Oryzias latipes: one gene and its partners. The protein of the gene in region 3 purifies or fractionates together with the protein of the main gene of each other region. This does not show direct contact. Links are inferred from orthologs where the notes say so. Each region holds a gene or a part of one and is shown on either strand. Other genes may lie near its edges. The genes, in order: rpp30, rpp40 and ribonuclease P protein subunit p21.

The links.
Region 1: the proteins of ribonuclease P protein subunit p21 (region 3) and rpp30 purify together in Homo sapiens (co-immunoprecipitation; 3 studies listed by BioGRID and IntAct, counting the BioPlex papers as one, with this or other methods). This does not show direct contact. The link is inferred for Oryzias latipes from reciprocal best matches to the Homo sapiens genes RPP21 and RPP30.
Region 2: the proteins of ribonuclease P protein subunit p21 (region 3) and rpp40 purify together in Homo sapiens (co-immunoprecipitation; 3 studies listed by BioGRID and IntAct, counting the BioPlex papers as one, with this or other methods). This does not show direct contact. The link is inferred for Oryzias latipes from reciprocal best matches to the Homo sapiens genes RPP21 and RPP40.

What each region holds. Positions count from the first base shown.
Region 1 is NC_019877.2:1,033,673-1,043,420, reverse strand, and holds rpp30 (ribonuclease P protein subunit p30), read right to left. Parts: upstream 5,023-9,748; 5' UTR 4,758-5,022; coding exon 4,676-4,757; intron 4,422-4,675; coding exon of another isoform or gene 4,412-4,421; exon of another isoform or gene 4,381-4,411; coding exon 4,322-4,380; exon of another isoform or gene 4,312-4,321; intron 4,258-4,311; coding exon 4,123-4,257; intron 4,036-4,122; coding exon 3,964-4,035; intron 3,851-3,963; coding exon 3,761-3,850; intron 3,652-3,760; coding exon 3,535-3,651; intron 3,466-3,534; coding exon 3,436-3,465; intron 3,283-3,435; coding exon 3,066-3,282; intron 2,936-3,065; coding exon 2,861-2,935; intron 2,792-2,860; coding exon 2,754-2,791; 3' UTR 2,609-2,753; downstream 1-2,608. Other genes in the region: nudt13 (nucleoside diphosphate-linked moiety X motif 13), read left to right, coding at 4,412-4,421, 8,300-8,435, 8,502-8,644, 8,712-8,819, 8,901-9,007, 9,127-9,252, 9,723-9,748. UniProt on the Homo sapiens protein: Component of ribonuclease P, a ribonucleoprotein complex that generates mature tRNA molecules by cleaving their 5'-ends. Also a component of the MRP ribonuclease complex, which cleaves pre-rRNA sequences.
Region 2 is NC_019875.2:13,398,855-13,408,622, forward strand, and holds rpp40 (ribonuclease P protein subunit p40), read left to right. Parts: upstream 1-3,661; 5' UTR 3,662-3,779; coding exon 3,780-3,893; intron 3,894-4,288; coding exon 4,289-4,433; intron 4,434-4,517; coding exon 4,518-4,586; intron 4,587-4,685; coding exon 4,686-4,781; intron 4,782-5,792; coding exon 5,793-5,915; intron 5,916-6,040; coding exon 6,041-6,206; intron 6,207-6,276; coding exon 6,277-6,411; intron 6,412-6,478; coding exon 6,479-6,671; 3' UTR 6,672-8,210; downstream 8,211-9,768. Other genes in the region: riok1 (serine/threonine-protein kinase RIO1), read right to left, coding at 1,949-2,039, 2,208-2,394, 3,422-3,474. UniProt on the Homo sapiens protein: Component of ribonuclease P, a ribonucleoprotein complex that generates mature tRNA molecules by cleaving their 5'-ends. Also a component of the MRP ribonuclease complex, which cleaves pre-rRNA sequences.
Region 3 is NC_019862.2:3,260,938-3,270,623, reverse strand, and holds ribonuclease P protein subunit p21, read right to left. Parts: upstream 5,752-9,686; 5' UTR 5,444-5,751; coding exon 5,387-5,443; intron 5,315-5,386; coding exon 5,214-5,314; intron 4,608-5,213; coding exon 4,525-4,607; intron 4,450-4,524; coding exon 4,315-4,449; intron 2,512-4,314; coding exon 2,414-2,511; 3' UTR 2,189-2,413; downstream 1-2,188. Other genes in the region: aquaporin-12, read left to right, coding at 2,040-2,167; pak2 (serine/threonine-protein kinase PAK 2), read right to left, coding at 6,800-6,886, 6,973-7,110, 7,240-7,436, 7,534-7,633, 7,741-7,858, 7,950-8,062. UniProt on the Homo sapiens protein: Component of ribonuclease P, a ribonucleoprotein complex that generates mature tRNA molecules by cleaving their 5'-ends.

The DNA of each region.
Region 1 (9,748 bases), on a different chromosome or scaffold from region 3:
TCACAAATATCATTGATATTATATCTTAAAATGTGTTAATTTTTTTACATCTTTTTTTAAAAAATTGAACATTAAAACTCTGATCCCTTATTAACGGTGACGTTAAAAGTTTGACCTTCCTCTGATTGGTTTTTTTCTGCTGTTACGTCACTGTATTTGAAAAAGAGTGGAAAAAGGGAATGGCGGAAAAGGTCAAAATAAAGAAGTTAGGGGGAAGTATGACTTCCGGTCCAGATTAAAATATTCAAATTAAAAGCAAAAATTTACACCTAAATGTGGCTGTTTAGAGATATTAAAAAATTTTCCAACAAAAAAGCAAAACTTAAACTCTATGTTTTGTTGGTCGGTCTCTCCAGAAATTATAATGTATTAATTAATATTGTTTTCAGTTTTTTTTCATTAAACATGAACTGAACACGATTGAACGGTAGAACGAGAGGTCAATATATGGATAGATACATTTGTGGGATCTTATGAAATTTATTTCATTGTTTTTTGAACAATAATTTCAAAGACTAAACCGACTTTGACAATGTGACCGTTTCATCTGTGCTTTTATTGTGAAGGGCCAGAACGTGTTTGGACCGGATGTGTCCCGCTGTAAACTAAAGTCTGCAGGTCGACGGAAGGACGGAGGGTTCCGTGACCCAGAGCTGCAGGGAGCCCACAGTCGCCTGGCGAGTGGCTAACCGGTGACCCGCCCGGTTTCACGGGGATTTGTTTGTATACCGGCAGTAAACACAGCCAGCTTCCGGTCACTGCGCGAACGCGAAAGTTTTCCTGCCAGTAAGCTACATGTTAGCATGGAAGGCGCTAACCTGCTGAAGAGGCGGTTCCTGGAGGAGGGGGCGGAGCTTTGGAGTTGTAAACCAGTGCAGGTGAGAGAAAAATACGTTTGTGGACTTCAGTCCTGATTGATCAGGTAATAATAATCAGTCAGTTGTCCTTCCGCTGATTAAACCTTAGTTAGCTAGCTGATTTGTTTAACATCCACTTCCTGGTTCCATAGTGGGACTGAAGACCCTGACTGGGCTGCCCGCTGAAGTGCCCAACCGTTTATTTACCTTTATCTCCTGCTTCTGTTGTCAGAACGATGTTTGGACCAGATTTATACGGTTCTAAGAACCCATCCAAGTCCACTCTGGGCCCGGATGTTCTGATGCTTCTGAGGTTCCAGATAAAGGAAAAGTAAATCTTCAGTTTGAAGATCTCACGGCTCCAGAAGTTCACGTTGGTGGTTGTCATTTGGAAAGTAGAGGGGGTGGGGTCGTTATTATGATCAGGTGATCAATCAGCTGGCTGTCACGGAGTTTGTCTGTGATTCTAACTTAGCTTCAAAACCGCTTCACTCGGGTCTGGGTCAGTTCCTGCAGATGTTTCTATAAATGAAGCAGAAGTTTGAACACACTGATGATGTTTGCATCCAGAAGCGACTGTGCATGGAGGCGGCTCTGCAGCTGGCGGAGTGTCCCATGGAGACGTCCTGCGTTGCCACGGTGACCAGTCAGCAGGAGCAGGTCAGTGCTTGAAGCTGCAGATGTTGTTCATTAAAGTCAACATTCTGGCCAGATGGACGTAAACAAAACAAAAAAAGCCCGTTGACTCCCATCAGAACCTCCCTGAGGTTCCACGTTCAGATCAGAAGCCTCAGCTTCATGTGATGCTGCTGTTGCCATAGAAACGAGGTCCCTTGACGTGTGCGCAGGTTCGTGCCGTTCATCTCAGACCTCCTACCATCTGCTGCGCCCGATGTCTCGGAGGAGAGCCGGTAATTTCTTCATCAGCTTTAGCACCTCTAAGTTTGGCTTTTTTATTAGTGAAATGAATTCTGGGAGATGGAGTCAACTGCTTGGTTCTTGTGCTTTTAGGGTCATATCAACCACATCATGGGTCTCTGAAGTGAGGAGGAGAACTTCCTGCAGTCTCTGGAGGACTCGTCTGAACCTTCAACCATCAAACTACTCTTAAACTCCACCTGAGGGTTTTTCTTCAGCAGCTGCTGCCAGAGCTTCAGGCCATCATCGTCTTCCTCCATCGACTCGCAGTAACTCCAGCGGGTCGGGACGTCCACCCCACTTGTGTTTACTTTTGATTTTGTTCTGCAACACTCTGATGTTTGAGGCTATTAGAGGTTTTTTGCTTCAGTAAGTTTAAGCCACGCCCTCCTCGTCTGATTGGTTTAATCCATCCAGTCCAAAGAAACTGCTATGACCTTTGACCTCTAACAGTAAAGGGCTATTTCACCAGGGAGGGTGTTTCTCCCCTCAGTCTGGTCTCAGGATAACTCCTCCCTCTGTGGTGTTTAAGGGAAAAATTCTGTTTAGTGACTTGAATTAACTTTAAAAAATGTTTAATTTAATTACATCTTTGTACGATTAATGAAATATGAATCCAGAAATGTTCACTAGTCTTCCTGTTCGTACATTTCTATTTTTATAAAGATATCTATATTTGTATGTCCAATCTGAATGTGAAGGAACGACCTCCTAAACTTTATTTCATTATCGTCAAGCTCCAAGACTAACAGCGTTTGTAATGTAGATTTCAGAATAAAAGCTTTGATACGCTTTGATTTTGAAATAAGACTCCTTTTTTTAAGGGGGGGGGGGGAGGTTCTTAAATCAATTTTATTTTTCCAAAAAAATACAAAAGTTGTCCAAAAAAATTTTTTTTAAATACTTGATTTAAAAAAGAAAAACTCATGATAATGAAGTCACAGAAATCGGAGCTGGCCCCGCCTCCCTAGCTGTCAATCAGGTGGTCTTGACCCTCTTGGCGGCAGGAGTGTCACCTGCACAGGTAGACGTTACATTCTTATCAGATACTCGGATGCTGAGCTCACTTCTGCACCAGAACTGACCCTCCGGAGGATCCGACGGCGCCTCCTGCTGGCTCCTCGCCGTGTACACGATCCCGCTGGCCGTCTTCCGAGTTTCTGACCACAAACACACACGGGTTGGAATTAACATCCAGGATCCGTCCACAAGTCGTGGACTGAAAGTCTCTGCTTCCTCTGTCCCTAAACAGGAGGAAGAGGAAGAGCCTGGGATGGCGTCCGTCCTCACCTGCGTGCAGCAGCGCCGCCCTGCAGGTGGAGGAGACGGCCTCTTTTGCGTCTCCATCTGACAAACCGAACAGCAAACCTCTGAAGACGCACATCAGGAACACAACAAACAGACACTGCTGTTGTGGGGGGGCGGCTGCTGTGACGGGGCCCCACCCACTCGTGATGATCAAAGGATACAGGTTGGTGATGTCATACGGTCCTCGCAGCTCCAAAGCCTGAAAACACAAAGGATTTTTAAAAACTACGGGAGCCTGAGAGGACCAAAACTCAGGTCTGCCATTGAGGTTCAACAGGTGGAGTAAAAACAGCTTTCACTGTGAAACACGGGGGTGGCAGTGTGATGGTGTGGGCAAGTTCAGAACACTGACCTTCTCTGCCGCGCTGGACAGGATCACGTTCTGAAAGACCAACAGATGTGTCAGGTGAGTGATGATGTCACCTCAGAGTGGGCGGGGCAAAGAACCCACCTTCCCTTTACAGCTGTCCGTCAGACTGGCGGCGTTGGCGATGGTGTAGCGCCTCATGGTGGAGTCTCTGATGGCCGCAGAGTACGACACCTCGAACATGACTCCGCGGTCGATGGCCTGGACACAGCAACGCGCACACATGCAGAAAAACGCACACATGCAGAAAAACGCACACATGCAGTCGCACAACGGCGACAACGAGAAGGCCTGGCGGCGGAGAGGTCACCCCATTGATCGGCGCTCTCTTGAAGAAAAAAGGAAGCTTCTCGGTGACGGAGATGCAGATGATGTCGATGTCGTACAGCATGCAGGCCGCCTGCACGCACACACACACACACACACACACACACACACAAACAAATGACTGATGTCTAACACAAACCACAACTAGAATCTCCTGAAGACACTGAACACATCAGTGAAGCTCACATGGAACAGCTTCTCCGAGGTGGGCTGCACCGCCAGGAGGTCAAAGCGGCGATACTCTGGAGCGTTGGGCCTCTGAACACGTTCACACACACACACACACAGAAGGTTTGGATCGATCAGCTGATTGATTCCGATCAATACTTCAGCACAGACTCTTACATAGTGACTGGGGTCGGACACCACCACGGTCAGCCTGTTCAATACTCTGATGGGGCGGGAGCGCCCCTGCACGACGGGCAGCTGATCAATCAGCTCATTGATTGGTTTAGGGACAGGAATTTCCTGCAGAGGAAGCTGAGACTTTCAAAGTAAAAGCCATGACGTCAAGGTGGGAGTTTGTGGTTCCGGGTGGACTGACCTGCTTCTGCTTGGCTGTCGGTTCGAACATGTAGTTGATGGCGACGGTGGAGAAACCCACTGCAAAGACAAGAAGAAGGCTTTAGAGCGCATGCGCACAGGTGAGCCACACGAGCGTCCTAGCAGAACCCCGAGGAACGTCAGCAGCAGAGGTTGTCGAACAGGAGGAAGTTCTGGTCACGTCCGAACCGGGTTCTTCTCCATAAGGACTTTTCACGCGGAGGTTTAATGGGAAGCAGCGCGCGGGGGAATAAACGATTCGAATCGCCAGCTATCTTTAAAACATCCGGGTATTTCTGCTAAAACAGGCGAAGCTGCCGAACCACAGAACCGGGAAGTTCGGGGGGTAACTTACGGTGAGCCGCCGTCTCCAGCAGTTTGCTGATTCGAGTCCGGTCCGCCGAAAACATCAGATTTAGGTCCATGAAAACCGCCATGACGCTGCACGTGCGGAAACCCCAAAGGCCGATGGGAGTTGAAGTCTCGTTTGCGCAGGGGCGTCACTGGGTTCTCGCGATGGTGGGAGACCAGCCCAGTTTTTTATTCTTCATCTGGATTTCTGAATTACTTAACCTAAAATTATCTTTGAAAAAATTAATTATTGACAATATGTCAGTTTTTGAAATCCCCATTCATTTTTATTTTATCCACTTATTTATAGTTGGTTAATTTGTTTCTTTGTTGATCTCATCTTTATTTACACATCTATTGGCATGTCAGTCTTATGCATGCTCCTTTTTTTATTTATTTATTTGTTTATTTATTTGGGGGGGGGGGGGGGGTTACACAGCAATTGGTTGACGTGAAACCATTTATTTTACTGAGAGATAAATCCAGGACTAGTGTCCAGTCTTTTTCTGTTTGATAAGCAGTGATGAAAGTCTTCCGGGAATTCCCGGAAATCCGGGTTTTTGAGCAAACCGAACGTACTTTCCGGGAAATAAAGACCTGATCTCTACGGACAAATCGCTTTCCGGATTAAAAAATGGTCTGAAATCAGCTAATTTTAGCTTTATTTTCTATATTTCTCCGCAGATCGTTTCCTCTATGGTCGTGGCCATCTCTCGTCTTCCCGGCCTAATTGACCAATGACGGGACGTTTTAGTTGCTTTCGGATGCGTCGACGGGTCTGATTGGCTCTGTCTGCACCACGTGGTCAGCGTGACTTGCTTCCCTAGAGACCAAAACTGGCGGACCCACGCTAAACTTTCACAAACACATCTGTAGAGTTTGCGATCAAATTTGTGTTAAAATAATGGCAGGCATCGTCATTATTGAGCGTGGTCACGACCTCAGTTGTGAGAAGACGATAAAAAACAAATTGAAGTGGTCTTGGATGGAAAAAAAAAAAAGATTTTTAAGGTAGTGTAGGTCAAATACTTTTTTGTGTAAAATAATCTCAAAACCACATTTTGAAATAATTTCAATTTTAGTTTTGAGTTTCAGTTTTTATTTTGAATACATTTCTTTATCTAATTTATTTGTATTTCCTAATTACCATGATTTAGTTCAGTATAGTTGACATTAATTATAAGTATTTGATGGTTTGGACCCGCACTCCCTTAAAAAATAATGTTTACAATGTTTTGTTTAGTTTGTATGTTTGTTTTGATATTTCCCAGATTACTTAGTATTGGTGTTAAAGAATTGATGTATTATGTTATAGAATTATAGTTTAAAGCAGATCCCATATTTTGATGTAATTATAGTTTGAGAAAACAGTGCAAGTGGATGTTGTACATCAGTCATTTCTAAAGCAGAAATAATGTATAAATAACTGAGGTATTTTCATAGAATATCATAGTTACTGGTGTTCTTTTTGCCATTTGGGGCTTTGATGTTACTATATTTTAGCAATTGTATGTTTTGCAGCTTTAAGGAAAAGCGTAGATTGTAGGATTGTGTTACTTTGAGCAATTTTCCAAATTCTTTTTTAGGACCAGCAAGTCCTTAATGGAGAGTCAAACTAGGGGTTTGAATGACAAATCATGATGCTCCAATTAGTCTTAGTTTTTTGATAAAGAAGTGAATAACTAGCTGCCAGAATGCACCAGAATGCATCTAAGACCACGTATTTTTCCAAAATTTCGCTCTGTGCCCGCCATATCGCTCAAAGAAAAGTTCAGGGATTTTTTCCTTGCCTGACTTTCATCACTGGATAAGTTCAAGTTATGTTTTTTTTTTTTTATTCCTTTAAGGAGTCCTAGTTGTGCCTCAGAAACCTTTGCTTTGTAATCAATATATTTGTCTTAGTGTCAAATCAACAGATGAATCATTTATCATCAGGATGGTCCCCCATCAATCAAACAGAAGGTTTGCTGCACTGTGAATGTTGGTGTAAATATGCTACAGAAATCCACGATGATGTCTGGACTCTTTCAGGGTCATACATGATGTCAGCGTTGAATTTCAGATGGATGTTAAGTTAAGGAGGTTTGAAGTTTTGACTGGAATGAACAATTTTCACCATCTGCATGAATGAAGCTGTCAGTCAAAACTGTTGTTTTATTTTAATTACCAAGAATCTATTAAAATTGTAAAACTTTAAGGATTTGATGTCATTGGGAGTTTAATTCTTAAACTGTTGCAATAAAATGGAAATGATGTTTTTTGGTAGTTTTGCTATTTGTTTATATACCGTAAATTCAATCGTTATCGCAATATTAATCACCAATATCGCAAGTTTTGCTTATGCCGTGCAGCCCTACTGTTAATTCAGTTAATGCTCAGGTATTATCTGGTTTGTTTCTCACTGATTATTGTCATTGTTCTCCTTTATCATCTTTTTTCCGCAAATGATGAGTTTTAAATATCGTACACTATCTTTTTGTTTAACCTTTTAACCTTGTGGTATTCAGAGCGAAAAGCAAAGTGAGCATCTCAGGAAAACCTGTTTCCTAACTGTACAATGACAATAACCCCTTTAATCCTTGAAACTTATAAATAAACACATGAAATAACCTTTTTTGTGTGTTTTTGCTGGTCTACTTTGTGCATTCACACCCAGTTTTACATGTTTTTATTTATCTTCTTTTCACGTGTCGCTCTGATCTCAACCTAAAGTCCACTTTTCAAACCCTTTTCAGGTCTAAACCCTTACAAAGAATTGCTCAGAAAACGGAATTCCTGAAAATTGTTCTTTTTGTAATGAGGATATTAAAACAACTGAGCATCTTTTCTTTTAATGTTTTTACTCTAAAGCCTTTTAGGATATACGTTGATACGATGATATACGTTATTGGCTTTTCCCCAAGATTCCATGTCTATCAGACTTTTCCATAAATCATTTTTGGGTTTATTTTAGAAAACAAAAACACAGAAATCGTTTTAAATGTTATAACTATCCTGGGTACATTTTATATACACAAATGTCGATTCCTTTAAACCAAACCATATTCTTTTACCTAATTTTGTAATTGTTTACATTTTTCTATGCTATATCTAATTATAATTTGACAAACACCTTGGACAACTGCCACAAAGATTGTAAACCTCAAGTTTGTGTCTTCAATAAAAAATAAAATATATAATAAAAACTCTGATCTCAGATCAGTTTCCGGTCCGGAGCGGAACGTTCCCCTTTCCCGCCAGCAGGGGGCGGTGCGCGCGTCAATCTCGCTCTGTGAGGCACCGCCGAGGAAGACGTTCAGCAACCTGCAGGTACGAAAAGACACGAACCGAGCCGAACCACGGTTCTATTCTGATACTGAATCCCAAGGTTCGGTTTTACCGGTCCGTTGAAATCTTCCCGCTGACTTAAAAGAACATCGCGTGAAACACGTGACTCGGTGTTGTCAAACTTTAGAACTTTGCCCCAAAGCACAGAACGGGTCAGGTCTGTTCCGGTTCGGCTATATGTTTGGAATATCATATCATACATCTGTTTCCCGAGTCTACCGGGAGTCCATGTGGATAGGAACCGGTCTGTTAGAATAGGTTCGGACCCCAGCAGAACCTTTGACCTGTTTCCTGTCTGCAGGCAACAGAACCAGGCCAGTTCTGACTAGTGGACCCAGAACGATGCTCCTCCTAAACCCTCTGAGGGGGATCCTCAGTGCCAGACCTCAGGTTCTGGGTCTGACCCGCTTCAGCTCCAGCTTTGTGTCCAGGATGAGGTCAGGAACCCAAACTGATTGATCGAGTGACCCGATTGATGTGATTGATGTACAAACTGGGTCCAGATTCCTGAACCGGCTGAAGCAGGAGGACGAGGCGTGTGCGGCGGCGCTGCAGGACGGTCAGCTGGTTCTGTTCCACCGCCTTCAGCCTCTGCTGCAGCGCGGACCCACCGGAACCTTCAGACCCGTCACCCTCACCTGCTCAGGTACCAGAACCTCAGGAGGAACGAGAACCTAATACTGAAAGCTAAGACTGCTGTGTCCCTGTTTCAGGAGTTCAATCACTCCTCCAGAACTTTGGTTCTGATGGACCTCTGCTAGAAGACTCTATTCTGATTGGCTGCAGTGAACAGAACCAGGCTCAGTTCTGCCTGGATGTTGGTAAGATCGCCTGACAGAATCACCAGTGTTTCCTTCCCTCAACCATGACATACAGGTTCTGTGGTTCTGGTCTTCATTTAGGACATCTGGACCAGGCGGCAGTAGCAGAATTCTGTGCGGGGACCTTCATAGACCTGAGGAAATCCTTCTTTCTTCTACCGGGACCTGCGGCCCAGCTGGTGGCCAAGGTCAGCAGCTGGAACCCAACATGCGGTTCTGGTTCCTCTCCCAGTCCAGGATGCTAAAAAAACACGAACTCTGTTGTTTCTGGTCCATTTCCTGGTTCTGATGTCGGTCTCTCTTGCAGGCTCAAGCTCTGCTGCGCTGGCATCAGACCAACGGGTTCTGCAGCGCCACGGGCCAGCCCACTCACCGGAACCGGGCCGGCAGCCAGAGGGTCTGCAGCAGCAGCTCCATAATCTACTATCCAAAGGTGATTTTTCTTTCCTCCCTGCGCTGGTTCTGATCCACCAGAACTGAGCACATCCTTTGCAGTTCCTGGTGACCAGCAGGGGGCGGAGTTTCACCGCCTGCTCCTCAGAAAGCTGCGGTCTGCTGGGCTGCTGGGCGTGTTCTCCTGCAGGAGGAGGTTCTGTCCCAAACAGAACCTGAAGATGGAGAACCTCCAGTCTGGTTTGAAACTGGATCATGTGCAGACCACATTGTGCACGTATGTGCGTGCACGTGCCGCAGTCACTCCTGCAACAGGTGTGTGAACAGACACGCCTCAGTGAAGTCACCTGAGTTCATCATTCGTACAGAATGACATCATCATCAGTTTTGTAACCTAAAGGGGCGGAGCTTTGGAAGATCAGGTTGTTAAATTTAAAAGAATCATTTGTCCCAAACGCCCCATGTTCTGGTGGGAGGGGCCAGCGTGACCCGCCTGCCTGTGGTTCACAGATGTCCCCCGTGGTCATCGTGCTGCT
Region 2 (9,768 bases), on a different chromosome or scaffold from region 3:
CATGGAATCCATGGACACCAGTGAAGATCACAAATCATTGAAGAAAAAAGGTTCAGAGCACTGTCTAGTGGGTCTAGATGACCCAACTCCCAATGTTAAAGTGCCTAGGATAGCACAAGGGTTACATGAGGAATCTTGTCGTCAGAAGCAAAAATCAAAGTCTCTGTCTTTAACAGTTGTTTCTAAACCCTTTTATTTTCTAGACAAAAAAAATTAACAGACCGGTTAATTTACTGATGTCTGTCTCATTAAAAGTGTAATAAAGAGAATGTCATCTACATAAATATGATTAGAGACCTGAATAAAACAAACCAATAAGCTGCTCAAGTGGCATCATGTAGAAAATAAATAAAAGAGCACCTGAAGCCCCTGAGGCAAACCCCAAGTCAATTCTCTCCGTTCTGACACTTTGTAGTGCTAAAGTTCTGTCTGTTAAATATGAGATGAAACCATTTACGGGGTGAATCTAAAAACAGAATAGAAATGCTCAGTCAAAACCTGATATTTGACCGTATCAAAAGCAGCTGTTAGTCTGCAGACATGAGCATTAGACCTTTTTAAAAGAGCAGCCTCTGAGTGGTTACAAAGTAGACCTTGAATACGGAAAAAATATGAACAGACCAAAAACTGGAAAGAATTGGAATATTAGATCTTCAAGAACAGAAGACATTCCAGAACAACAACAGACGTCGTAGAGCAGAACACCCTCTAAAACACTAGACATTCTAGAACAAAAGATATCTTAGAACCAAAACCTTCCAGAGCAGAAGACTGACTAAAACAGTTATTATCAAGAGCAGAAAATCAAACTAGAATCCACTCGAAAACAAAATCCATAATAGAACAGCAGACTTCATAAAATGGAAGATAAAAAAAAAAGAATTTCCAAGAACAGAATGTCTCCCAAAACAAAAGACCTTCTAGGAACGGAAGACAAAGTAAAATCGAGGATCTCCTGAAACAGCAAAACGACTAGAACAGTAGACCATCAAGAATGGAAGACCTCAAAGAACAGAAGAACCAAAAAAGCTCTAGAACAGAAAACCCATTAGTCCAGAAGACAATCTTAGAACATAGGTCTTTTAGAACAAAGACCTTCAGACTATGCGACCAAAACAAAAATCTTTGCAGAACAAAATGTTTTCTGGAATTAAGACTTTCTGGAAAAGAAGATAGTAGAATAATATCTATCATTGCCTTGTTTTTTAACCTATTTATGTGTTTCAATAAAAATGCTAATGTAAACAAAAACATCAACAAAAACAGTGGTAGGTTAACTTTCTTGTATGAAATTGTGTTTGCCTCTAAAAATAAACTCCATCTTCTCTCATGTAGAGGAAATCAGGGCGGGGCTAATACTTTTTCACACATCCATAGGAGATTATTCAGAACTATCAGCCATCTTCTTACTGGAGATTGTTTGACCTCACAGAGGGGCAGACACTTTTTAAGGTCACACCATGTCGGACAGGAAAACCAGAACTAGGGCTGCACGATATGAGGAAAACTTGCGATATGCGATATTAGAGATTAATATTGCGATAACGATATAATTTGCGGTATATAAAAAAATAGAAAAATGCCAAAAACACCATTCCCATTTGATTAGAAACAGTTTAAAATTACACTCCAAATGACCCTCATTGACATAGGTGACAAACATCTAACATAATAGGCCTCCATCTGATTGGTAAACAATGGGAAGGCGTCCATCTGATTGGTCAAAGCATAAAGGGATTTATTTGATTCGTTAAATGCTTCAAGCTGCTAGAAGATTGTTTTAACACATTTTGGGTTTACGATTTATTGCGATATTCGCAGTCTTTTGCGATATGCCTATTGCAGAGCTGGATATTGCGATAACGATAAATTTGCGGTATATTGTGCAGGCCTAACCAGAACCCTCCACAGCTGTGGTCTATGCATGTGAGTGTGCACGTGTGTGTACCCAGGTTGATTTTGTGTTCGTATTTCCTCAAAGCTTTGTCAGACGGGGTCGAGGACGAGATCATCTTATTCGACGGGTTCTGTCTGTTTGCCTGAGAACAGTGACAGAGAAACAAAAGGGCAGTGGGATCAGACTCATTATCACTGATAAATAATTCTGAACCGTGACCGTGATGTGACTTCTTTAACTGAAAAGGAACCAATATACCCTAACTGACATTTAACATGGCAACTAAATTTTAATGTATCTGGATCAGAACCTGGCAGTTGAGGCCGCTCCGGTTTAATCTGCTGGTCAGATTGGCAGCAGAATGGTACGCCCAATCCTCTTCATCATCCTCATCATCATAATCATCATCCACTTCGTCCTCCTCCTCATCACTGTCGACCCTCTGCGCAGCGACATCATTGATGAGGCTTGGTAGCAACGAAGGCTCTGATTGGTCTCTGCAGGAAACAGAAAAAGACAGACTGAGAAAGAACCAACAGGGAGGAAGAGTCCAGACCCTCAGCCAATTACAGGGAAGATATGTTCAGGTGGTGTTTGCACCTGAAAATATGTAGCCACAAGGCTACATGAGTAACACTCGAGCAGATCACTTTTGTGGACAAAAACATGTATTTGTGTAGGTAAAATTTGTGCACGTCGCTCTAATCTTGTGATTAGGATTGAAGGCAAAATAATACCAATTATGGTCAAAAAACACATTAAAATCTCTTCAGTTCCTCTATCGTTGGTCCCAAACATGGCTCCCTACTTGTGACAACATTTTCTAATGCTTACACGGCATTAAAAATCTTAAACTGCCACAAATGGATGTTGTTTTGTCAGTGGGTATGAGGCTTTGATGGTTAGAAAAGTCCAAAAAATAACATCTGAACTCAAATAGGCATAACTGTGAGGAGATACAGCCCAGAAACCTGGAGAAGACCCTCTGGAGAGAAGGTACTTGCCCCATTTGGTTACCATGGTAACAGAGAAGGCATCATCTGTCCTCCTGCACCATAAAAATCAAAGTCTTTGCAAGACCCAAACCACAGGAGGAGACAATTGTTCATGAAACACTGAGGATTTTGGATCTTCTGAAAGCTTTGGCAGTCATTTCTTATGGGATCACAGAACCAGGCCGTAACAGGTGAACCTGACAGAAGACACTGTTCTGCTCATGGGGTCGGTTCTTTCTTTTTGGCAGGATGATTTAGGTTCTGACCCGGATTAGACACTCACTGAGGAGCTGGTTTTGGCCTTTCCAGGTGCTGACTAAACTAAACAAGCCAGTCAAAATGATTCATCAGAAATGTTAGTACATGGATAATCGACTACTGGACCACTCAGAACTAGCGTTTGGGCTTGGACCCATACGACCTTTTTTCTGACATGGGGACTAGATTTTTTCCTGACGACACAGACAGAGCGACAAAGAGAACCAAACCAAACCAAACCAAACCAAACCAAACCAAACCAAACCTTTACCTGTCTACCTCAGCGTCATCAAACTGTCCAGGAACGCACGTGACCTCCTCCATGAACCCACAGCCCACGCAAAGTAATCCCGCTGTATTTGGTTGATAAGAAGCCCACCTTCACCGGGCCGCCTTGTTCGGGTGGTATAGAAGTCAACAGCGTGCTGCTCCTTCAACTTCCGGCTCTGATCACGTGACTACGGCGAACAAGAGGGGCCAACCCATTGCGGCTGCGCAGTGCTGCGTTCTGACCAAACCTCCATGTGTTTCAGTTCGCTTCCGGGTTTCTTGCCTTGCCTCCTGCATGCTTTAAAGTGAGAACATTTCCCGAGGCCCCGTGTCTGAGATCGTGCAGGAACTGCATCAGGATGCAGGACCTGAGCCGATGTCCTCGGAACCTGCTGGTCTGTGAGCGGTCCAGCTTCCAGAACGAGAAAAACAGGGTCAGCGCACAGGTGGAGCAAATGCATTTTAACTACAAGGTGAAAATTAAAATATTCAAGTCCGCATGTGAATTAGTTTAAGGAAGCAGAATGATGCATCCTCTTGACAAACTGTTTTTGAAGGCAACATTGAGAGATATATTCCCGTGTTTCTGAAGGCAGCACCGAGGGACATGATACTACTCCTGTCCCTGAAGGCAGCAAAGACTGATGATCTTAAGTAGTGCTTTTAAAAGCAGCATGGAGTGATGTTAAGTTCTTGAAGGCAGCATCAAAGTATATTCTTCTATGTTTAATATTGAATCATAGAGACTGCTGATTGGCCGTTCCGTCTTTTATTTTGGCAGGTCTTTGCGAAATTCAGGAAAATTTAGTTAAAAATTGTGACCTGTCACTGAAACAGCCACGATCTACTGCTTCCTATGCCTGTGCAGGTGTCTCTGCTACTGCCTGATTGTAGCTCCGCCCCCTCCCATCTGGATGAAACATTGAAGTCATTCAACAGTTTTTACCTGATTAAGAAGCTGCCCATCTACAAGCTGCTGAATGAGAACTTCCTGCGGAGTGCCATCTACAACGGTAACAAAACGCCCGTCTTCACTAAACCTAGCTGAGACCTGCTCTCATCTGGTCACATGACTCACCTGTTCCTATGTGCTGCAGGCAGCGTGTATGGTTTATCCCACCAGACTCGCATCGACGAGGATAACTGTGTCTCCCTAATGCCCAACGGTAAAAAGCATCACTTCCTGTTTGTTGTGTGGATCTCCATGGTCAAATGACCCTTTTCATCTGTTCTTGGATCACATGATCTTGTCTGTCTGTCCTCAGGTATCTTGACCCTGTCCCTGGACAAAGACTCTTTTGAGCTGCTGGGCTTCGAGGGGAAACCATCAAGGTTTAACCACAGGCGTTGCAGCAGATTTGGTTTGTTATGCACAACTTAACAATTTCTAAAGCGTTAGTTCACAACGAAGGTGGTGTCAAAGCACTGAGGGGTTTGCTGTGTAATCCCTGTACTGAGCAAACAAAAGCGGACAGTGGAGAAGGAGAAATTGGTGGAAAACGAGGAAGAAACCCGTTGCAGAACTAGATTCCATAAAACCAATCATCTGCTGTGACTGATTGGAGTCTGAAACTACTGGCACACTGGTCTTATGATGCACATTCTTGAATGCACGTTTAGCGCATGGCATTCACACGAGAGAAGCTGGGAGGGGCCTCTTCTTATTTTTCTTGTTCTATTTACTTCGCCACCTACAGTTGGAAGAGGCTTGGTGTGAAATCCCTAAGCGGTGCAAATCTCACGTAGCTATCCAGGCTTTTTCTTTCCCAGCTCTATTCCGACATATGAAAGACTTGGTGTCATATAATTCCGATCGGGCACAAACCACAATTATTAATTTCGCCTCCATGATTAATTTATAGCTGTTAGACAGGACAAGTTAAAAAAGCTTGCCCTGTCCTCTCCGTCACGCAGCAGACCGGCTTTTCCAAACCCGTTGGTGATGGTAGATTTTTTTCACACTGCTTTTAACTTGAAAGCTGCGTCATATGCATTTATTCTTGCATTTTCAATGATGAGGGTCTGTTCGTGCTATTCATTCACAAAGCAGGAATTTACATAAAACTTGTGTCTTCCTCGACACATTTACCGTATTCCCCCTGTCTCACTCTAACCCTCTCTGCTCGAGCGCCCCCTAGTGGCTGTTCGAAAAAAATGCCTTAAAAAAAGAAGGAAAAAAATGCATAAATTAGCCGCATCATTGAATAAGCCGCAGGGTTGAAAGCGTGTGATAAAGGTAGCGGTTTATAATCTGGAAATTATGGTACATAGAGACGCATGTTATGTAAGAACAGAAGAAACCAGCAACAAAATGAGGATCTGACAGAAATGAGTGAGCAGATCCTTTTTCTGTGCACCTGTATGAACTTCAGTGGTAACTGTGAACCTAACGGACAGCTGCATGGCTCCTGGAAGGCGGAATTACCTCAGACTTCTTGAGGGTCTGAAGTCACGCCTTCCGCTACAAACGGACTTCCTGTTGTCACATCATCCAGGTGAGTGACTCCATATTCCAGTTCAGTTCAATTTAATTTGTATAGCCCAAATTCACAACAACAGTCGTCTCAATGGGCTTCATATAGACATATGAGACCAAGCTGTGTCTTTCTCTGTCTTGCAGGGGGTGGGGCTTCTTTGCATCCCCTTTTGTCTTGCTGTGATTGGTCAGAGCACCAACCTGAGGTCAAATTCCGCAGCCTGACCAACGTGTCCTTTCCTGTCCCCGAGTCATGTGACCCTCACAGCTTCCTGCAGTGGTTGGGTGCGGTGGAGTCCGGCGTCAGCGGGTATGGCGTTCTTTCGTCGTTAGCTCATCACACAACGTGGTTGCATGATGCGTGCATTTCTGGGTTTCAGTGAGAACTCGTCCAACAGCTTCCTGTCCTCACTGATCTGTCCGGAACCGAAAACTCAGACCAACTGCGCTCTGAGCGCGTGTGTGAGCGGCATGCTGCTACCGCAAGACATCCAGCGCCTCATTGGTCAGCTCAGGTCAGCTGATGGTACACATTCAAAGCATGTGGGAGTGGGCTTGGTGTGTGACTCGCCTGTCTCGCAGGAGTCACCTGGAGCAGGTCCAGTCCTGGGCGGTGCTGACAGTTCACGGTTTCGCGGACAGCCCCGTGTCCTGGGGAGGGAGAGAGCATGGATTTCTTCGAGGAGGAGAGAACTTTTACAGCCTGCTGATGTCCCACGACCACACCTACCACCTTCACTTGGCTGCCGGCGCACACGATGCCTGCCCACCGTGATGCCACTAACCCATCAGAACCAAGAGAATTGACTGAGCTCAGACAGTGCTGGAGGCCTGACCTGTGGCTTATTCAACCTGTTAGAACTTCACCAGATCAGAACCAGTGTGCAATTAATTTAGTCTTGAAATTCTTTAGTTTGTTCCGGACTAGCAGTTCTGGTTCAACCCATGACTTACTTATCAGCAATACATTGGGAACAGAAGCAGAACCCCTGTTAGAACTAGTGCTTTTCAGTGAGAGCAAGGGGATCTAACCCGGGTCAACACACCTTTTGTGGATAGTTGAGCTGCAGCAGAACCACAGAGGCTGAGAGAATGATGTGTGGAAGATCTGCGCCTGGCATGCCTTGGTAAGCAATCAGGTGGTTTTCTCGACTTTAAAACGTTATGTGTCTGCCTTATTTGTCTGAGGGCGTGTAGGGTCAAATCCACTCTGCTCTCCAGGTAGCTTTTTCGTTTTATACATGTAAAATGGGTGGGCAAATGGTATATAATTTTTTTTCAGCAATGGTAACTAGTTTCATTTATTTTGAACCCTGGAACTGAGTCATTTTCTGACTGCACTTTTGGATGCAGTGCCATTTCCTGCCATGGGGTGGTGCCGCCGAGACGCCATTTTCTTTGAATAAATGTCATCATCGTCTTCACTGAATTCCATTTCCCAGTTACCATGTTGAATTTTGTTTCTCCGACAGGGATGTGCGAAGGGTTTGGGAGCGTCAGGTGAGTTCTTTGTGGACTCAGGTTCAGGTGCCGTTCAGGTTGGCTGCAGACAGAAGCTGGCTTTGCTGATGATTTGGGTTTGAAAGAGCGGGCCGCTGCATTTGAAACAGGTTTTGACTTAATGCTTAATTTCTTTAAAGTGGTTCAAACACTGAGATCGATGGACCTTTTGAGTTGGTTTGCTTAGTCTTTCACGTCTCTTCTTCTCAGACGTGTTGAAATGTTTTCTGTGTTGTTGAACCTCTTTTTTTTCTTGGATTTTGGCTTGATGACATCATTCATTTGATTACATCACAAAGAGGAGTAATGTATTTATTTTATGACGTCATACTCTGTGATGCCATCAGAGAGGTAATCTATTCAGACCATAAATTGTATTTATAAAAAAAAAAAAACTTGGTTAGCAACTTTTAATCTAAGGCATTTTTCCTTTTTAAAGCATAATAAGAATTGCAACGTTTTGTTTTTTCCTTAATGACCACAAGGAGTTGGATGCAAATGCGAGTCAATCTCTTTTTACTGACATGTTTAAAGACCCAAACCAATGAAGATGGTGTTTTTGGCAGGGGTCTTGGTGTGTGGGTGACCAGGCACTCCTCATCTTTTATATCCCATCATGCACCACAGTAGAACACCAACACTCACCTGAGCACAGGTGCTAGCTCACCTTTGCACAAATACTTTGTTTGCATGCTTAAGAATGTACATGTGTGAGCTGCAGTTGTATTGTGTATGTGTTCACGTGTTAACATGCTGACTTTGTGACTTATCATCTGCACCTCACAGAACTGTTGATAAACCTCCAGCAACTTGTTGCTTTTTGTTTCTATTCACTCCCGGTGTTGGGAGTAACGGCGTTTAGGTATAACTGTGTTACTAATGGCGTTAAAATTTAAGTAACGGGGTAATAGAACTAATTACACTATAATACCAAAAGCATTCACTCACCTGCCTTGCCTCACATATGAACTAAAGTACCATCCCATCCCTAACCCATAGAGTTCAATATGATGTTGGCCCACCTTTTGCAGCTTTTACAGCTTCAACTCTTCTGGGAAGGCTGTTCACAAGGTTGAGGGGTGTGTTTATAGGATTTTTTTTTGGAGGAAAATGGTATAGGATATGAGGGATTGCACCGCTGGGGTCAATCAACACACCAGCAGTCTAACGTCTAATTCTTACTTACTTCAACTGGGACCTGCGAAAACTGCTGGAACTGCAGTTAGTAAAGCACGAACACAAAAACCCCCTTTAACCCTTGTGCTATCTTAGATGACCCCACCCTTACATTGACGTGTTCTCCCTACCATGACAAAGGTGGATAAAGGTGAAGAGGATTTCATGTAATCCATGGACACCAGTGAGGTTCACAAATCATTGAAGAAAAAAGGTTCAGCTCACTGTCTAGTGGGTCTAGATGACCCAACTCCCAATGTTAAAGTGCCTAGGATAGCACAAGGGTTAATTGCTTTGTTAGAAACTTTAATTATGGCCCGCAGCAGCAGTCAGACTGCAAGGACCATATTGTTTTCGCAGTTGGAACGACGACTTCGCCGCCTTTCAGCGAGAATGTGACCCCCGCCGCATGCTCGAAAAGTCACCAAAACGTGCATACACCTGGGATAAATTGCAAATGAATTTTCCACAAAGTCAATGTCACCCCCCGGAAGACGATGACATCACGGCCAGCCATCCCGTCAAAAAAATGAATCGGCCGAAAATCGCGTACAAAATGTACTTCCAAATACAGTCGCGAAACCAAAACACACGTGTCGGGGATATCCCAAAGAAGTTTTGAGACCATTATGGGATGGCCACACCACCTACGGCTTGGCGGCCATTTTGTGGCGAACTCTGAGAATTGCCGATTTTTCTGTTTTCCCACGATATGGGAAGACGACACTTTTGTTTGAGCGATTTTCAAGCAATTGCACACACTTGCTGCCAGCTCCAGTCTACAAACACCACAGAAGTGTCGTTGACCTTTGACCTTGGGAAAAGGCCGCCATCTGTAATTTTCTCAAAAAAGCACCTTTAGCACCAGATACAAACGAAAACTCGTTGTTGGAATTTTCTTCAATCTTCTCGTAACTTTTCGGACATCAACGGCCAGCTACTCTGGACAAAATGTTGGAATTAGAAGTTGTAGATTTTGAACGGCGTGCGCGTGGCAAGCTAGCAAAGTGGCGCACTGTTATAACTGCCATGACTTTCAATGCAATAGTGAAATTTGAATGCATGCATCAATGTCAGGAACTGAACACAATAAAAAACACTGGACATGGAGATATAAGGAATGTGGGCGTGGTTAGCATAAAACCACTGTTGCTAAGGACAACAAGAAGTTTACTTTTACCGATTCGTCTGAAACT
Region 3 (9,686 bases):
CCTAGGATAGCACAAGGGTTACGAGCAAAGTTAAGTGAGAATAAAATTTTAAGGTTGCATTAGGAAACTGAGTCTTAATATTGTCTAAATAAATGACCTTCTGTCACTTTCATGCTGATACTGTACCAATAGACAGTGATAAAAAAGTTGCGTCTTCGGTAAAAGTGGCTTACAGGTCTCTATGCTGATGCAGTTTTCAGTCAAGACTGATGAAAATCTTGCTGCTCTCTTTGCTGAAGCTTTGACAGTATTCCACTTACATTGTTTAAAGGCTTTAGGATGTATTTAGTCCTTGATTGTTTCAGCTATTCTGCTGTGGATTTACTGGTGTTCTGCAGGTCATTTATCTGGTGACTTATCTCACTTTGAGGTGGTAGAAAATCTCTTCCATTTGACTCCAGAATTCTTGAAGGTGACCATTACTCTAAAACAAATCCCAACAACCCTGTCTTCACCATTACGTCCCTATTGTGTGTTCCGGTGGTTTGCCTTTAGATCCAGTGCAACAGCAACCATAGATATACGCTCACCAGCCACTTTAGCACCAAGTTGGACCCCCTTTTTCCTTCAGAACTGCCTTAATCCTTGGTGGCATAGATTCAACAAGAAACATTCCTCAGAGAGTTTGGTCCATATTGACATGACAGCATCACACGGTTGCTGCAGATTTGTCGGCTGAACATCCATGATGCCGATCTCCCGTTCCACCACATCCCAAAGGTTCTCCATTGGGTTGAGATCTGGTGATCTGGTGAGGCCATTTGAGTCCAGTGATCTCATTGTCATGTTCAGGAAAACTGGCTGAGATGATTCCAGCTTTATGACATGGCGCCTTATGCTGCTGGAAGTAGCATCAGAAGATGGTCCACTGTGGTCAGAAAGGGATGGAGATGGTCAGCAACAATACTCAGGTAGGCTGTAATGTTATAACCATGCTCAGTTGGTTCTAAGGGGCCAAAAGTCTGCCAAAAAATATCCCCCACACCATGACACCACCACCACCAGCCTGAACCGTTGATACAAGGCAGGATGGATCCATGTTTTCATGTTGTTCTGACCCTACCATCCATATGTGGCAGCAGAAATAGAGATTCATCAGACCAGACAATGTTTTTCCATCTTCTATTGTCCAGTTTTGGTGAGTCTGCAGACCTCAGTTGGAACCAGTGGTTCTTTGAGTTCCTGTTGTCCTTTTATCAGCTGGAACCAGTCTGTACATTCTCCTCTGACCTCAACAAGGCATTTCCACCCACAGATCTGCTGCTCACTGGATATTTTCTATTTTTCGGGCCATTCTCTGTAAACCCTAGAGATAGTTGTGGGTGAAAATCCCTGTAGATCAGTTAATTAAATCCTCAGACCAGCCTGTCTGGCACCAACAACCATGCCGCATTCAAAGACACTTCAATCACCTTTCTTTCTCATTCTGATGCTCGATTTGAACTGCAGCAGATCGTCTTGACAACAGATGTCTACATGACTAAATGCATTAAGTTGCTGCCATGTGATTGGCTGATTAGAAATAATGAGTAATTTGGACAGGTGGGACTAATAAAGTGGCCAATAAAGATTTTTTTTTTTTTTTACATCTTTTTGATTCAGTCTCCTTCTGTTGATAGATGTCAGTCCCGCTAATGTCAGCCTGCAGTTAGCTTTGCGTCTAACTGAAATTTGCCTTCAAACAAACATTTGATGTTGGAGTAACTTTCCGCTCCAGGAGCTTTTTGGGAACTGCTTCACTGCTTCAGGCACAGCAGCCTCGAGTGCATTTCCATTTCTGTGCACCGAATACTTTAATCTGGAACACTGAGAAACAATCAGATCAAGTCAGAATTCACTGTCTTGTTAAAAACAGCTTCAAAATGGGCTCATAACAGGTAACAGGTGATAACAGATGAGTGGGTTGTTTTTGTAATGACATTTAGAACGTGGGACTGACGGTAAGGTTTTTATTTAGTCCACTTCTTACTAAGACAACCCAGAACGCTGCATGTTCACGGCTGTTGTCGTTTGTCTAAAGGGTCACGTTTCTTTCGCAGGCATGACTCTGGCTCTTCTCTTCTACATGGGCCACATTCCCAGGATCTTTGCCAAAAACCTCCTGTATTCCCAGAAGACACGCTTCAGAGTGCCCAAAGGAGACAAAGCGGGGAAGAAAAAAATGTGAATGATGGACACAGTCAATGGTTCCAATGCATTTATTTTAGACGCGTTTAAAAAAAAAAAAAAAAAAGAGAGAAATAAATGAGAAAACTGGTCAAAGGATCCATTCTTGTCTCTGATTTTAAATAACACCATATTTAAGAAACATCTCCAGCGTGTTTATCAAATAATGAGTGAAACTTAATGTGGAGTCAAAGACGAAACAGACACCTAGAATGAAGGAGCACTGGAGAAAGGTGGCGTCCGGCTGTTACGTGCTGCCTGAACACTGACCAGAAGCGGGCTTGGACGACTGCGGCGTGCGGGGTTTTGGGATGTTGGGCTGGTTTTTCGCAGACGTGCCTGGATCTGTGGGAGAGACCGAGAACTGCTTCAGCCACCGGAAAACAAATGTTCACGCGGTGAAGGAGGCGAATGTTCGTCCCCGTTTCCCTGTGCAGCAGCTGAGCAAACAGAAGCTGAGAGCCTGACGTCTTAGACAGTATTTTTATGATTGGACTTCTGTTGAGTACTCCATCAGCAAACAGGGGTGTGCTTGTACAAACCCTAGTGTAATTAAAGCGAACTTTATGTTTAGGAAATGATTAATTCTTAGTCCTGTTTTAAGTTCTGGAGCAGCCTGCGAAGGGAGAGTGAGACGGATGTGGAGGCAGGCGTTAGGAAAAGGAAAGGAAGCAGCAGAGGCTGCAGAAAAACACGACGCTTCAGTTTCATGACAACTCCCGTTTACGCAAGCAAGAAAACCCAAACTGAAGTCTCCGCGCTTTAAGGCAAAGACAGAGACGGCAATCCCTGGGGGGTATTCCAGAAAGCAGGTTATGCTATCCCAGGTTATGCTATCCCACGATAAGTTTGAGGCTAAGAAAGTTGATAACCTCAGCTTTCGGTTCCAGAAATGGAGGTATGTTTCAGGGTAGGTCAAGTTACCATGGCAACTCATGCTCTGAACATAACCTGGTCTGGAGCAGGTTTAGTTGAAGGTTAGTTTGTTTACAGAGAGGTGAAGCAGCATGGCGTGTCCATTTGAAGATGATTTAGTGGATGAAAAAGCTCAGATAATACTTTTTCCACCAAGAGAGGATGATGAGACCACATATGGATGTTGGAAAGATAAACTTTTTTACTTTGATCTAACGTAATTATTTGCTTCAGTTAAGATAAATCATTTTTTTGTTAGAATTTTTTTTGTTAAAAATTACACGTAGTTTTCAGACAGTTATTTTCCTTTCGTTCAAATTAATTCAATTAAGTAGGTGTAACTTTGATGCTGCTGTTAGATCGGCACCGCAAGGGATTCTGGGATATCATTCCCTTTGCCTGTCTGGACGGATTTGGGTCTAAGTGTGGGTTTTTTACTAAATGTATTTAGTTGTATAGCTGTTTTACTGTGTTTCACCGTGTTTGGCCGAGCTATTTTGTCCTACTATGCTTACGTCTCTGCACCATGAGTGAGAGTAAAGGATAGGATGATGACTTTATATAGCACCCCTACCGCTTAGTGCTGTTATGACAGTGACGGAAAATTCTTTAGTGAGTTTTTGCACTCGGTGCATTTTTTTCCGTTCTTTTTATTGTTGTAAAAATGAGCATATCTGCCGGCTCAAACTTAGACATATGAAAGTTCAAGAAATATAAGTAATTAAGATGGAAAAAAGATTAATGAAGTAATGTGACATTTAGTTAGATAAATACGTACATTTGAGTTGTGTAAACAATTATTGAGTTTGAAAAAATTAAACTAAATTATTTAAATTATTTTTCAGCCGTGTTACTTTTTTGATGGACTTATAATTTTTAACCGCCGTCATTTAAATCTCAGACTCCGTCTCACTTCCGTCTCAAGTGTCGCGCTCTTTTTTTTTCTCCACGCGTTTCCATGGTGACTCCAGAAATCGGCGATCTATTGAGAATGTCTTTATGTACCGTGCATTAACCCAGGGTTACCAAGTCGAGCGTAATTACGCCAACTCATATCCGGTCTTTTGGAACCGACATACCCAGAGTAAGCAAGTTCAGGCGGATTTCAGCCAGAGTTCAGGATTAAAGTCAGGGTAGTTTAAACATGCTTCCTGGAATACCCCCCTGGTCAGTGGTCGTCACCAACGATGACTGCTCCAGGTTTACAGACAGGTCAGTGCCGTTCACACCCACCCAGCTGCTCCTGCAGCTCCAACTGCGCCTCTGGACGCTCCACCCATAGACGGTAATCCGGGTTATTCTGAAAAGTCTTGGTCTGACCACAGCTGAGACACCTGACCACAGTGAAGCTGGTCTTTCTCTTCTTTCCTTTAGAAACAACAACAAATGATTAAAAAAAGGGAAAACCACCCCCATCGCTGAGGATCTCTGTGAGATACTGACTGCGTTGTCTTGTTGTAGCAGTGACTCCTGGGATGAGCAGCGTGCAGCAGCCTTTGCATAACGTCCTCTTCACAGACGGGTCTCTGCAATCAAACACAGCGCTGGTCCATTCAGTCCATTCTGACCCAGCAGGACTGAGCTCAGCCTCACAGTGTTAGACGAACGTCTGTGTTGAATCCACCCAACTTTATATATGCATTTAGAAAAAGAACGAAATGGTGACAATAGGTCATGTGATCACCACACCTTTAAGCAGGCGGGTCCATGAGGCTGCAGCAGACACACAAAACCATCTTTAAATGTCTCCTGGAAGCACTTTTCTGATTCTAGGACTTGTTCTTATCTGCTTGACTGACGGGTCGGGTCTGGGTTTCACTTCAGGAGTTGTCATAGGTGGTGATAATGTTTCATTTAACTTTAACCAGCCTCAGACATTTTTGATTTCTAGTTTTACAAGAAGTATTTGTTTAGAATCTCTAATTAAAAAAAATATATTTCGCTTACAAAAAAATACAAACTGAATACAACAAACCAAATATGCAAAAAGTTTGTTAAAGCTCACGTGATCACAAAGCAGAGATAATGAATCAATGGGGAAAATGACGTTTGAACTCTACAGGAAGTGACGCAAACTAGTCTCCACAATAAAACCCTGAACCGTTCAAAATGCAGAGATTCAAACTACTCACTGCCTGAGAACCAAACGTCGAGCAATCGTCTTCTGTGTGAAGCAGTAGAAGCGAGCCAGCTCCACATTCTTTGGGTTTTGCGCTAAAACACAATGAGCAGCCTGTGAAGACAGAGTCACACCGTTCAGGTCTAATATTAGCAACGTGGCTGATGGCTCCGGTCAGCTCCGTACCTGGTAAAGGTAGTTAAGTCGCTGGTGCGCTTCTTTGTCTTTTAACTGAAGAGCCATCACTTACAGACTCAAAACAAAACCCCGGACAGTCTGTACAGGGGGAGACTTACGACTAAGTTAGCATGTGAGCTAATATGACGCACATCCGGGGAGATCCTTCAAAATAAAAGCCCCCTGTCTATAGAATATTAATGAAAACTATATTTGTCGCCCAGATCTTAAAGGCAACAAGTTATATTTATTAAAGCGCAAAAACAGTAAAAAGCTGTAAGGAATAAAAGAAAAAAATGTCCTTTACAGCTTACTCATTATAGTCACTAACAAACTAATTGCTTTGGCATTTTGCGTTTGGACAAGAAAAGTGTGGGAGCCCAGCCCCAGGGACTGGCAACTTCCAGATATCCAAGTCCTGATTCATGACTGCTTACCAGGTTCAGGTGTGCAGCCAATTAGAACATGCCAGAGCCGGGTATGTTGGAGAACACGCAGGAATGCGGCCCCCTGGAGTTGACCATCCCTGCTTTAGGGACACATCCTTCTTTGGGATTTTTGTGTGTGATGTTTCTGTCCTCTCTACTGCCAATTACCTATGATTACCTAGACCAGGTATGTTCCATTGAAGACAGCAAGAGCAGGAACAGGGGAAAAAAGCAGGACGCTGGGCCTTTAAAGACTGGTTTAACAGCCCTAAACGTGGATGGAAAAAATGACAGACATAAAATACTCCTTTTTTAATAAGAATAGCAAAAAGAGTACAAACCCTGTCAATCTAAAGTTTTAACGGCCAGTAAGGTGCGCCCTTGGGATGAGGAGTCAAACTATTCGGGGCTTGAACTGGTACAGTGGACCGGTCAGAGAACACCATCAGCACGCACGATGCATTGAAAGACAAACGCCCACAAAACATGGAGCAGTCAAGAAATGACAAGTGCTCTGTAAATGAAACACTTCACAGACCAAATGGGGAAACTAAAATGAAATTCAAGTATCAAAAGAACTAAGACACTGACAAGCTGAGAAGGTAAATTACAAATGTAGTAAAAATCACAGGAAGGGAGACGTGACACAATCAACAATACATTAGGAAACGTTTTGCATTTGTTTAAGGCAGCTGATTAAAAAACTAAACAGAACTAGGCATCTTCTTCCTTCCACGTTAAATACAAACCTAGCCCGACCTTGATGCACAAAGTCCACTACGCCCGACTGAGAAGGTGCACTTCAGTCTGAATCAGAGTTCGAGTGAACAGTCGTGCTCTTGATTTTTGGTCTTCTTCACAGTGAGGTTTGTCGGGGCTTATAAGGCTGATGCGTCACAGAGAGGCGAGCCACTCAGTCTATTGTCTGGCACAAAAACTGAAACGGTTGGCACGCGTCTGCGCAGCCGGAGGCCGGCGCAGCGGGCCTTCCCAGCTAACGGCTGCCTTTCATGGCCTCCTTGGCTGCCAGGATGAGAGGAGTCAGACTGGAGAGGGGCTTCGCCAGCTTCAGGAACGGATGCTGAAGAACAAAATTCAACAAGCGGATTAGACCAAACCCAAAACCGTAAGTTGAAAAGAAAAACAGGCGATGGGTGGAAGCTGAACCTGCAGAAGCTCTTTGCCGCCTCCTCTTTTCTCTACATCCATTTCCAGGCAGCGGTTCAAGAAATCTCGAAAAACTGGAGAGAGCTTCTCTGGATTCTGAAGCTCAGGGGTTCCATTTGTAGCAATCAGGTATAAAGCCTGCCAAACACAAGGACATCAGAGAAGCGTGACACACAGCTTTGCATAGAGTCACACTAAGCTTAGCGGTTATTTTTTTAAGATCCTTTTATTGACTTTAGGCAACATGCAAAGCAACACTGAACTCACTCGCAGTGGGTTTTCATTCAGGTATGGAGGCTCGCCTTCAACCATCTCGATCGCCATAATACCAAGTGACCAAATATCTACTTTAGGCCCATAAGCCTTTCTGGTCACTACTTCAGGAGCCATCCAGTAAGGTGTGCCAACCATGGTGCTGCGTTTGCTCTGTTCTGGAGTGATCTGGGCACAGAAGCCAAAATCAGCTGTTGGAGAAACACAGACAGAAAAATGTGGAGTTACGGTGGTTGGATGTAGTCATTGTTGCAGTTGGTTGCTTCTAATTTGGGGCAAACGTCTTACTAAGCTTCACGGATCCATCCATTCCCAGCAAGACGTTGTCACTTTTGATGTCTCTGTGAATCACTTGATTTGCGTGCAGGAATTCCAAAGCTTGTAAACACTAAAAGAGAGAAGGCAGAGGGCATGTAGGAGTGATTCTGTTCCATTCTCCACTTAAAGTGGAAGCACAATGAGCTCCATACTATGATATGAAAGAAGGAAACGCACCTCTCGACAAACAGCAGCTATCTGGGCTTCATCCATGCAAGTCTCGGTGACGACGTCTGTCAGGGAGCCACCAGCAAGATATTCCATGACGACAAACAGCTCATCCCCCATCAGGAAACTGATCCAAATGACAAATGAATACCGTTCACCTCAACGCATGAAAATTCTCCCAAAGAAAGCCGTTGCCCTGCAGACTGAAGGTCCCTCACCTGTCTAAGAAGTTGACGATGTTGGGGTTCTTCAACTCCTTCATCACTAGGATCTCATTGATAATGAGCTCCTTCTTCGGCTGCTTTTGTAGATTGATTTGTTTAATCGCGACCTGAAAATGGAAAATGCCAGTTCTTAAATATTCAGAAATAGTACATTTGATCGTTTTCTGTCAAAAGTGCAAAATGTCTTGAATTCTGCAATCCCATCAAGTAACACAAACTGGATCATTTCAAACAGAATTACATTTTACGTTCCCTCCTCCATGGACCATGGCGGAGGGGTTTGAGAGCTCGAGTAATCCCAGGGGGGAAGAAGCTTATGGATAAAGGCCCTGATAGGATCTCCTAAGGCAGACAAGTCCTAGGTGACCAGCCGGACAAAGAGCAGTTTAAAGCCCCTTTATTGGCGTCACAACAGTCCCACCACAGAGCCAGGCCTGGGTTTGGGAATAGCAGCCTAGCCAGGGGGCCCCGGTTAGGCCTGGCCTGAAGTGATTATGCGGGATCCCTCCTGGCGGCCCTGCCATCTCCCATCTCCTGCAGCAGAGCCGGTGCAATGTGGTTTGGCCAGGCTTGACGGCGGGTGCCTCAGTGGGACAACCATTAAGTCTGGCCTTTGGGACATGAAACGTCCCCACTCTGGAAGTGAAGAAGCTTCAAATGTTTCAAGAGGTACTGTGTAAACATAGGAAGAAGTTTTCTCATGAGCCCTCAGCTCAGCCACCAAAGTTATTGTCTCACACCTAGGTGCTGTATTTGTTCTCTGCATTTGATTCCCCCCCTGGGGGAGGTGAAACTTGGGACTCGGGACTGTGTACCGATCAGGACCCATTTGGTGGTTTAACCCCCCAATCTTTATGGTAAGTGTCAAGCAGGACACTGGGTCCCACTTTTAAAGTCTTTGGTGTCATTCGGATTTGAACTAACGACCTTCCAGTATCAGGGCGGACACTCTACCACAAAGCCACTGTACGAGAGAGTCGAATCTTTTCGCCTTCTAGAAGGGGATAACTCTCTGTGGGTTTTGGCCTGAGGGCCAAAGAACAGTTTGGAGTACCCGGCGTTCTTCTGAAGTCACTGAGGTAGTTGAGAAGCTCCTCAGCAGCAAGGCGCCATGGCTGGATGAAGTCCACCCTGGAGGGCTCAAGTCTCTGGATGCTGGTGGACTGTTTTGGTGGACACGTCTCTGCAGCATTGTGTGGCAGTTGGAAACTGTACCACTGGACTGGCAGACTGGGGTGGTGGTTCCTCATTTCAAAAAGGGAGACGGGAGAGTGTATTCCAACTATCGAAGAATCCATTTCAGAGTCCTGGAGAGATGAGTTCAGCCAAACTTCCGATCCAGGAACAACAGTCCGGTTTTCGTCTTGGAACTATGAATCAGCTCAACATTCTACATAAAATGGTCATCCAGTTTTTTGAGTTATCGCTCATCCAGTTTGGTGGAATTGGAGAAGATGTTGGACCCTTGTAGCGTCCTGTGGAGGTTGCTCTGTGTACGAGAATGTGGTCCCAAAGACAAGCCGGCTGAAAAGAGTTTCCTCCGTGGACTGGCTGGGCGCTCCCTTACAGGTAAGGGGAGGAGCTTGATCACCTGGAGAGAAGCCAGAGTAGAGCCGCTGCTCCTCCACATCAAGAGGAGCAAGCTGAGAGGGCTCAGGGATCTGGTTTAGGGGCCCCATGCTCCTCCCTGTCCCACCAGGCGGAGACCCCGTGGGAGAGCCAGGCCACGCT